Mus musculus: one gene and its partner. The protein of the gene in region 1 purifies or fractionates together with the protein of each later gene. This does not show direct contact. Links are inferred from orthologs where the notes say so. Each region holds a gene or a part of one and is shown on either strand. Other genes may lie near its edges.

Region 1 (4,164 bases):
TGGGAGGCTTGGGAACACAAACTTGAACAACTTCTTTAGTGTCTCTGCCCCTGGGTTGTCCCAGGAAATGATGACCCCCCCCAAGACTTCATAATTCAAAGTACATCTTAAGAACACACCCAAATATTCTTCATGTGCACTGCTGTACAAAATGCACTCGTCAGCCATAAGAATAATATTTGCCATATACAAATATAATCACGTGTAAAGTAAATTTGGAACACAGGAATAGAGAGGGCTATGGACTCTCTTGGGATCTGAGCTATTTAAAGTCAATTTTGTTTGAGTTATCCCTCTGCTGGGTATAGAAAACTGGCTATGAATACATCCATCTTACAGTGAATGCTCACCACTTCAACGGCTCCTGCGTCATGGAATGCGATACTTTTTAAAAATAGGTGACCCTTGGTGTTATGGAAAGGGGGGGGGATGGGGAAGTTAGAGGGCAGGAGGGTGGGAAGGGTAAACGGGGAAAGACAGGATCCGGACTTTGATGGGTGACCAGGTGGGCTTAAATACTCTATGGTGTAAAGCAGATAAGCAAGCTCAAGAGGAACCGGTTCCCAGCTCTGCTGTTGCAAGTCTGCCTTGATCTCTCTTTACAAATCTGTTTCCCGGCTAGTGTCCAGACAGAGGGCATACAGAGACCTTCGCAGGTCCACGTTGCTCTTGGCCTTTAGGTGACACTTTTCTAGAGGACAGCTACCCCTTCTGATACTGTCAGTACTCTCCAGGGGTCCCCCAGTCTTGCAGAAGGAGGCCTTGCTGCAGCTGACCTTCCGTTGACCTCCTGTGTCCAGCCCAGACTCCCGCCTCTGGATGCCTTGCTCTTCCTTCAGGGCAGCCTGCTCCTCGTGGTCTGTCTCCCGATGATAGAAGTAATTAAAATTGGAGACGATGACGGGCACAGGCAGAGCAATGGTGAGGACCCCAGCTATGGCGCACAGTGAGCCCACAATCTTGCCCCCTACAGTGATGGGCCTCATGTCCCCGTAGCCTACAGTGGTCATAGTGACTACTGCCCACCAGAATGCATCCGGGATACTGGAGAAGTGCGACCCCTGATTGTCTGCCTCTGCGAAGTAGACAGCGCTGGAGAAGAGGATGACTCCGATGAAGAGGAAGAAGATGAGCAGCCCGAGCTCCCGCATGGACGCCTGTAAGGTCTTACCCAGGATCTGCAGTCCCTTGGAGTGGCGGGAGAGCTTGAAGATTCGGAACACCCGGACCAGGCGGATCACCCTGAGGATGGCTAGGGACATGGCCTGCTGCCCATTCTGACCACCACCCCCTGGTTGTTGCTCTGCCAGCTCGGTGCCCAGGGTGATAAAGTAGGGGAAGATGGCCACAATATCAATGATGTTCATAATATTCCGAGAGAATTCTGCCTTGCTGGGGCAAGCAAAGAAACGCACAAGCAGCTCAAAAGTGAACCAGATCACACATGTGGTCTCCACGATGAAGAATGGGTCAGCCAGTGTCCTAGGCAGGAGCGGAGCCACTGTGGGGCCAGAGGAAAGGACACCAGAGCCACTGCCATTTGCCCCTGGGGCAGGGGCTGGGGGCTGCGGCGGCACTGGGGGGTGGCGTAACAGCTCCCGTTCATCCCTGAACTCAGGCAGAGTCTCCAAGCAGAAGGTGATGATAGAGATGAGAATGACCAAGACCGACACGATGGCAATGGCTCTTGCTGACCCAGAGCTTTCTGGGTATTCGAAGATAAGCCACACCTGGCGCTGGAACTCATTGCGGGGCAGGGGCTTCTCCTCTTCCTTGATGAAGCCTTCATCCTCCCGGAAGCGCTCCATGGCCTCGTCCCCCAGCTGGTAAAAGCGGATCTCATCTGCAAACACATCCAGGGAGACATTGACCGGCCTGCGCAGGCGGCCCCCAGACTGGTAGTAGTACAAAATGCCATCGAAGCTAGGCCGGTTGCGGTCGAAGAAGTACTCATTTCTCAAGGGATCGAAGTAGCGCAGGCGTTTGACTGGGTCCCCCAGGAGGGTGTTGGGAAACTGCGCCAGGGTGCCCAGCTGCGTCTCAAAGCGCAAACCCGAGATGTTTATGAGGACCCGCTGGTGATGGAGTGATCCTGAGTCCTGAGGAGCCTGGTCCTCCTCCACTGTGCCCAGGCCAGGGTCGCCTTCTCCCTCCTCATCCTCAGCAGATGGCCTTCTAGGCTGTGGCAGCTCCTGAGGCATAGGGGGCAAAGGCCTCCCACCCTGGCCCGCATCCTCGTGTGTGGCGCGCCTCCTCGGTGATGTTTCTTTGGACTGATTATTGAGTCCAGCCGTCGGAGGGCACCCACACTCTCCCCTGGGGCTCTGCACACAGCTTGCCCCTGCCTCCCCTCCTCCTCTGAGGGTCATGGCACTGCCGTTCTCCATGGGCACCAGGGAGATCTCCATGGCCCGGGGGCAAGGGGCATGCTGCGCCCCCAGACAACCGGTTCCCACACCCCAACTCACGCTCCGCGCCTCGCGGTTTCCTCTTCAGCCGAGGGCCCCCGCTGGCTCTAGGCTGGCTGGGGTAGCTGGCTGGATCCCCTTGGCTGGTCCTGACGTCAAGAAGCTGCTGCCCCTGCTCCCTGCCTCTCTCTCTCCCTCTCAGTGTTCTGGCAGCTGGTTACCAGGCAGCAGAAAAACCTCCTTCCAGCAGATGCAACCTCCAGCAGCCCCTCTCTGGCTGAGCTCCCCGGCCTCCGCCCTCTGTGGCTCCCTCCTCTCCTCCTCCCCCTCCTGTTTCTCCTCTGGGGACGGAGTCAGAGAGTGTCTCTCTGGAGGGTTCAGCTGGGGCCCCAGCAGCAAGGACAGGAAGGGGAGGAGGAAAAGAGCCTGAGGAGCGAGGAACAGGTTGTACCAGGAGCGCTGAAAACTCCCAGGGCAACAGGATGAGAATAGCTTCAGGATCTCAGATCACCTGGGAATGCACAGAAAGCGGAAAGGGGACTCCAGGGGGTGGGAACTGCTTTAGATGCAAGGGGAAGGCTTGTAGCTGAGTTCCAGTGAGTGGAGAAGAGAGTGCTCTGGGTGTTTTTCTTTTAGAGCAGTGCTTCTCAACCTTGCTAATGCTGCTGCAACCTTTAACACTGTTCCTCATGTTGTGGTGAACCCCACAACGGTAAATTTATTTTTGTTGCTACTTCATAACTGTGATTTTACTATTGTTATCATAACATAAATGGAATTTGTTACTGAAGTGTAATGTAAATATTATTGGAAATAGAGGTTTGCCAAAAGGATTGTGAACCACAGGTTGCAAAACCAATGCTTTATAGATTAACAGCCTCTCTCTTTGGGAAAAATGACACTGCAGGGGAGCAGCGAGCTGTGTGTGTGTGTGTGTGTGTGTGTGTGTGTGTGTGTGTGTGTGTGTACTCTGGAACTCTTCCAGTCTATCTACAGATCCATTGGAAGGTATGAGACTGAGACCTCACAGCACCCCCTTAAGCCTGCTTTTCATCATCCAGACATTGGTGATTTGATCTGCTAGTATGGAGCCAGGAGGAGTCTCAACTGAGAGAGAAGCTGTCTGGTCTCCTGCCTCTGCATTCTTCGCCATCCCTCCAGCCTCCTCACCTAATCCTCTTTTTGTAAAATGCACAGTGAGAAAAGAGAATAAATCCTGGTGGAGAATAATTGTGCACGGGAAAGCTCTAAGCTAGCGACTGCATAGAAACCTGTGTAAAGAGGAGGCAGAGGGACTTATTTATTGCTAGTATGTCCAGATCATTCTGGACTTGTGTGTTTTTGCATCAGCTTACTTTGTAAGTACTAGGACTACCTTCAACATACAAAGAAACTCAGGCACAGATAGATTGACTACATTGTATATGGAGGCCACAGAACTTGACTACATTGTATATGGAGGCCACAGAACTAGAAAGTATCAACGCTGCAATTCAAACCCAAGTTGCTGGGTTTAGGGAGCTCGCTTCTTTCTCCCCTCCCCACATCTGGCCTGAGGCCCTTCTTCCATTGCAGGAGGCAGAAGAATGAGTAAGATAAAGATTGGGTTCTAGGCTGGGATGCCAGGGTCCCTCTCTACACTCTGCCCTTGTCTTTAGTCTCTGAGGCTGTTGTGGTCTCCAAAAGCCAAGGGGAGGATTTTTCAAGGTCTGTCAGCCAATTCTAGATACAGCTTCCTCCAGATGTTTTTTGTTTT
Region 2 (3,306 bases), on another chromosome or scaffold:
TTTCTCTCTCTCAGAGACCGTGCGGGCCATGACCCATGTCATCAACCAGGGGATGGCCATGTACTGGGGCACATCACGCTGGAGCTCCATGGAGATCATGGTAGGGTGACGCCCGTGTGTCCGCAGGCATGGGGTTTTTGTTTTGTGTTTTTGTTTTTGTTTTTGTTTTTTTTGTGGGAGGAGAAACCAAGACTTAGGTACGTGTGCTTGGCGAGGGTGTGATTGGCATAGCCATGGGTCTCAACCTGACTCAACATGGCCCTGCATGGATGGCTTACCCTCATGGCCTGCTCTGAGGCTTCTGGGGAAAACCTATAGGAAGCTTTAAGTGTGATCTTAGAGCCTAAGCAAGCCTCGGCACCTATGCTCATTGCCACGTGGTAGGCTGTTCTGTGGGATTTGAGATTTAACCTCTACAGTGCCACAGGAGGTAAATGCTGATGTTGCCCCATGTCTCAAATGGGGAGGTCAGGGATGGGGGTGAAGTCCCATGCTTTAGGTTACATTGCCTTACTTCAAGGCTGATACCTAGATAATGCCGGACAGATCCTGGGCTGTCTTGGAAAATGACCAACCCAGCTGCTAGGATCCAAATTTCTGTTAATCCGTGGTTTCTCCCTTCATCCTTATTCTCAACAAAGCACCCCAGTAATTGTCCTTCTCTCCCATGGGAGCCGTCAGAGGCTACAGCAACCTGTGTCCCTGGGTATTCTGTGGTTCCCAGGAAGAGTCAGCAGGATGTCCCTGCTGACAGTGACACTGAAGGGAGTGCCCAGATGATGAGGCTGCCTGAGGGCAGAGGGGTCGTAGAGACTCTTTCCTGACTACCCCGCCTCCCTACCCACACCTCCACTCCTCATCTGGCCTCACCCCACCCATGCCCGGTGTCCCAGCATTCCATAGCTGTAGCTACAGTGAATCACAGGTCCCTGCTTCATCCTGTGTTGGCAAGAAGTACAAGGGTGGGTGGGGTTAGGCTGTTTCAAATCCTGGGGGACTTGAGAAGACCCTGGCATAAGTCAGCTTTTGAGTACACTCCAGAGCCTTTGTCGGGCATCTTGCTCTGACTGCCCACAGCCAGGACTCAGAAAAATCTGAGTGTCGCTATCCCATTTTATAAATGAGGAAGCTGAGTCTCAGACCAAAGTGGGACAGCTCCTCCCTAAGTGGCAAGCGTGTCCCCTGCCATACAACTGTCTACACACAGTAGCGAGCTCACCTCATCCATGGAATTTAAGGGAGCACCTCCAAGCCAAGACCCCAAGCTCCTGATCCCAGGGTTAGCAGACAGAGCTGCTGCCTCCTGAGGGAGCACTACCTTTGAGGTCAGGGCCACAGGGCAACAGGCATGCTGTGCGGAGTGCCAGTAATGAGCCAGGCCCAATTAGAAGAGCTACAGGCACCTTGACTCATTGGAACCGTATGACAAATGGGGAAACTGAGGTACCGTTGATCCCATTTGCCTCGGCCCTTTAAGTCTTAGGATTCCAAAGCCCACCCTCTGGGCTCTCAGGAAAGCTGGGGGGTGGGGTGGGGATGGGGATAGAGAGAGCAGTAAGGTCCCTGGGGCTGCAGGTGGCTGATGGCAATGGTCTGCTTCCGCACCTCAGGAGGCCTACTCGGTGGCTCGGCAGTTCAACCTGATCCCGCCCATCTGCGAGCAAGCGGAATATCACATGTTCCAGAGGGAGAAGGTGGAGGTCCAGCTGCCAGAGCTGTTCCACAAGATAGGTGGGTACTGTCCTACCTTGCCGTCAGCCACTCTTCTCCTCCCCTCAGGACCAGCTTGACCTCACCTGCTCTCTCTCTCTCTCTCTCTTGCACCCTCTCAGGAGTAGGTGCCATGACCTGGTCCCCTCTGGCGTGCGGCATCGTCTCAGGGAAGTATGACAGCGGGATCCCACCCTACTCCAGAGCCTCCCTGAAGGTGAGCACAGCTGTGGGGGGAGGGGTGCCTTTGGCATAAGAATGAGGATACAGGCCTTTCTCCCACCCGTGGGGTGGGGCTAGCCCCGGGTAAGCAGGCCCACGAACCACTCCCCTACCATGGCTCAGTATTCACAGTACAAGCTGGTCTACTAGTGTATGATATGTTCCTTACCCATGATTGACCCACGCTCCCATCTTGGATACCCCAGACAAAGCTTAAGAGTTGGCCCAAAGTCCAACCCCATCCCTGTGAGAGAACACCCAGGAAGAATGAGAATGTTCATATGCGGGAGACAAGAGCCTTGAGGGCAAACGGTGGGCAGCCTGTGCTTCTGGCTCAGGGTCAGGTCAATCCACCACCATCCTTCTCCTTCATGATATGAAAGAGTCTAAGTCTGGCCCAGGGCCAAGCATGAGGCCAGGGGACAAAAGAGCCCAGGAAGGAATCTCTAGAGGAAGAGTACCTGCATCGAGAGGTCCAGGGACCTTCCCTTACCTGGGCTTTCCCCTTCCCAGGGCTACCAGTGGTTGAAGGACAAGATCCTGAGTGAGGAGGGTCGCCGCCAGCAGGCCAAGCTGAAGGAACTGCAGGCCATTGCCGAACGCCTGGGCTGCACCCTACCCCAGCTGGCCATAGGTAAATGGGCTCTGGGTACAATAGCGAGACACTTGCTCCTGGGGTCCCTGAGGGCCTGAGCTATACCTCCCCCACCCCAAGATGTCTTTAGGTAGTTGTCTAGCTACACTGTGGAAAGGGGCCCTGGAGAGAACCCCCATGATGGCCAGGGTAAGGACTCTCAGGGGCAGAGGTGGACTCTGTCTCTTTAAGAGCCTAGGCCACCAGCCTAGAGCTTCAGGCAGCTAGCCAGGGGTCATGGAGGATAGAAGGGATCTTTAAACACTTGGGCCACCTCTCCAGCAGAGACAGTGTGGCCAGAACCTCTTCTAGCCCCATGGGCAAACTCTCCCAGTACTACTGAGCGTCCCAAGCCCCCTCGGGCCCCAGACAAGAGCTCCACTACCTTTGCCCAGGCACGCTCAGGCAGGCAGGCCCTGCAGAGGGTTCCGCCCTCACCTCTGGTCTCGCTGCCCACAGCCTGGTGCCTGAGGAATGAGGGTGTCAGCTCCGTGCTTCTGGGTGCTTCCAATGCAGAACAACTTATGGAGAACATTGGAGCAATACAGGTGAGATGCGGGGGCCCCGGTGGTGGGCTCAGGTATCCCCAGCCTTCCTGGAGACACAGCTTCACTGGACACCTTTCCGGGAGTATAAGCTGTACAGGGATCGCAATTGAGCCCTGCTTCTTGCAGAGCTGGTCCTCACAGAATCAGACACAAATGTTTCGAGTGGGTGTGTTGAGAGAGCCACCTCCGTGA

What was found. Proteins that work in one complex are often made in the same cells at the same time.
Region 2: the proteins of Kcna5 (region 1) and Kcnab2 purify together in Homo sapiens (co-immunoprecipitation; 3 studies listed by BioGRID and IntAct, counting the BioPlex papers as one, with this or other methods). This does not show direct contact. The link is inferred for Mus musculus from reciprocal best matches to the Homo sapiens genes KCNA5 and KCNAB2.

The regions. Positions count from the first base shown.
Region 1 is NC_000072.6:126,532,756-126,536,919, forward strand, and holds the start of Kcna5 (potassium voltage-gated channel subfamily A member 5), read right to left. Parts: upstream 2,801-4,164; 5' UTR 2,409-2,800; coding exon 600-2,408; 3' UTR 1-599. UniProt on the Homo sapiens protein: Voltage-gated potassium channel that mediates transmembrane potassium transport in excitable membranes. Forms tetrameric potassium-selective channels through which potassium ions pass in accordance with their electrochemical gradient.
Region 2 is NC_000070.6:152,393,550-152,396,855, reverse strand, and holds part of Kcnab2 (voltage-gated potassium channel subunit beta-2), read left to right. Parts: intron 1-14; coding exon 15-100; intron 101-1,610; coding exon 1,611-1,731; intron 1,732-1,832; coding exon 1,833-1,927; intron 1,928-2,445; coding exon 2,446-2,566; intron 2,567-3,025; coding exon 3,026-3,114; intron 3,115-3,306.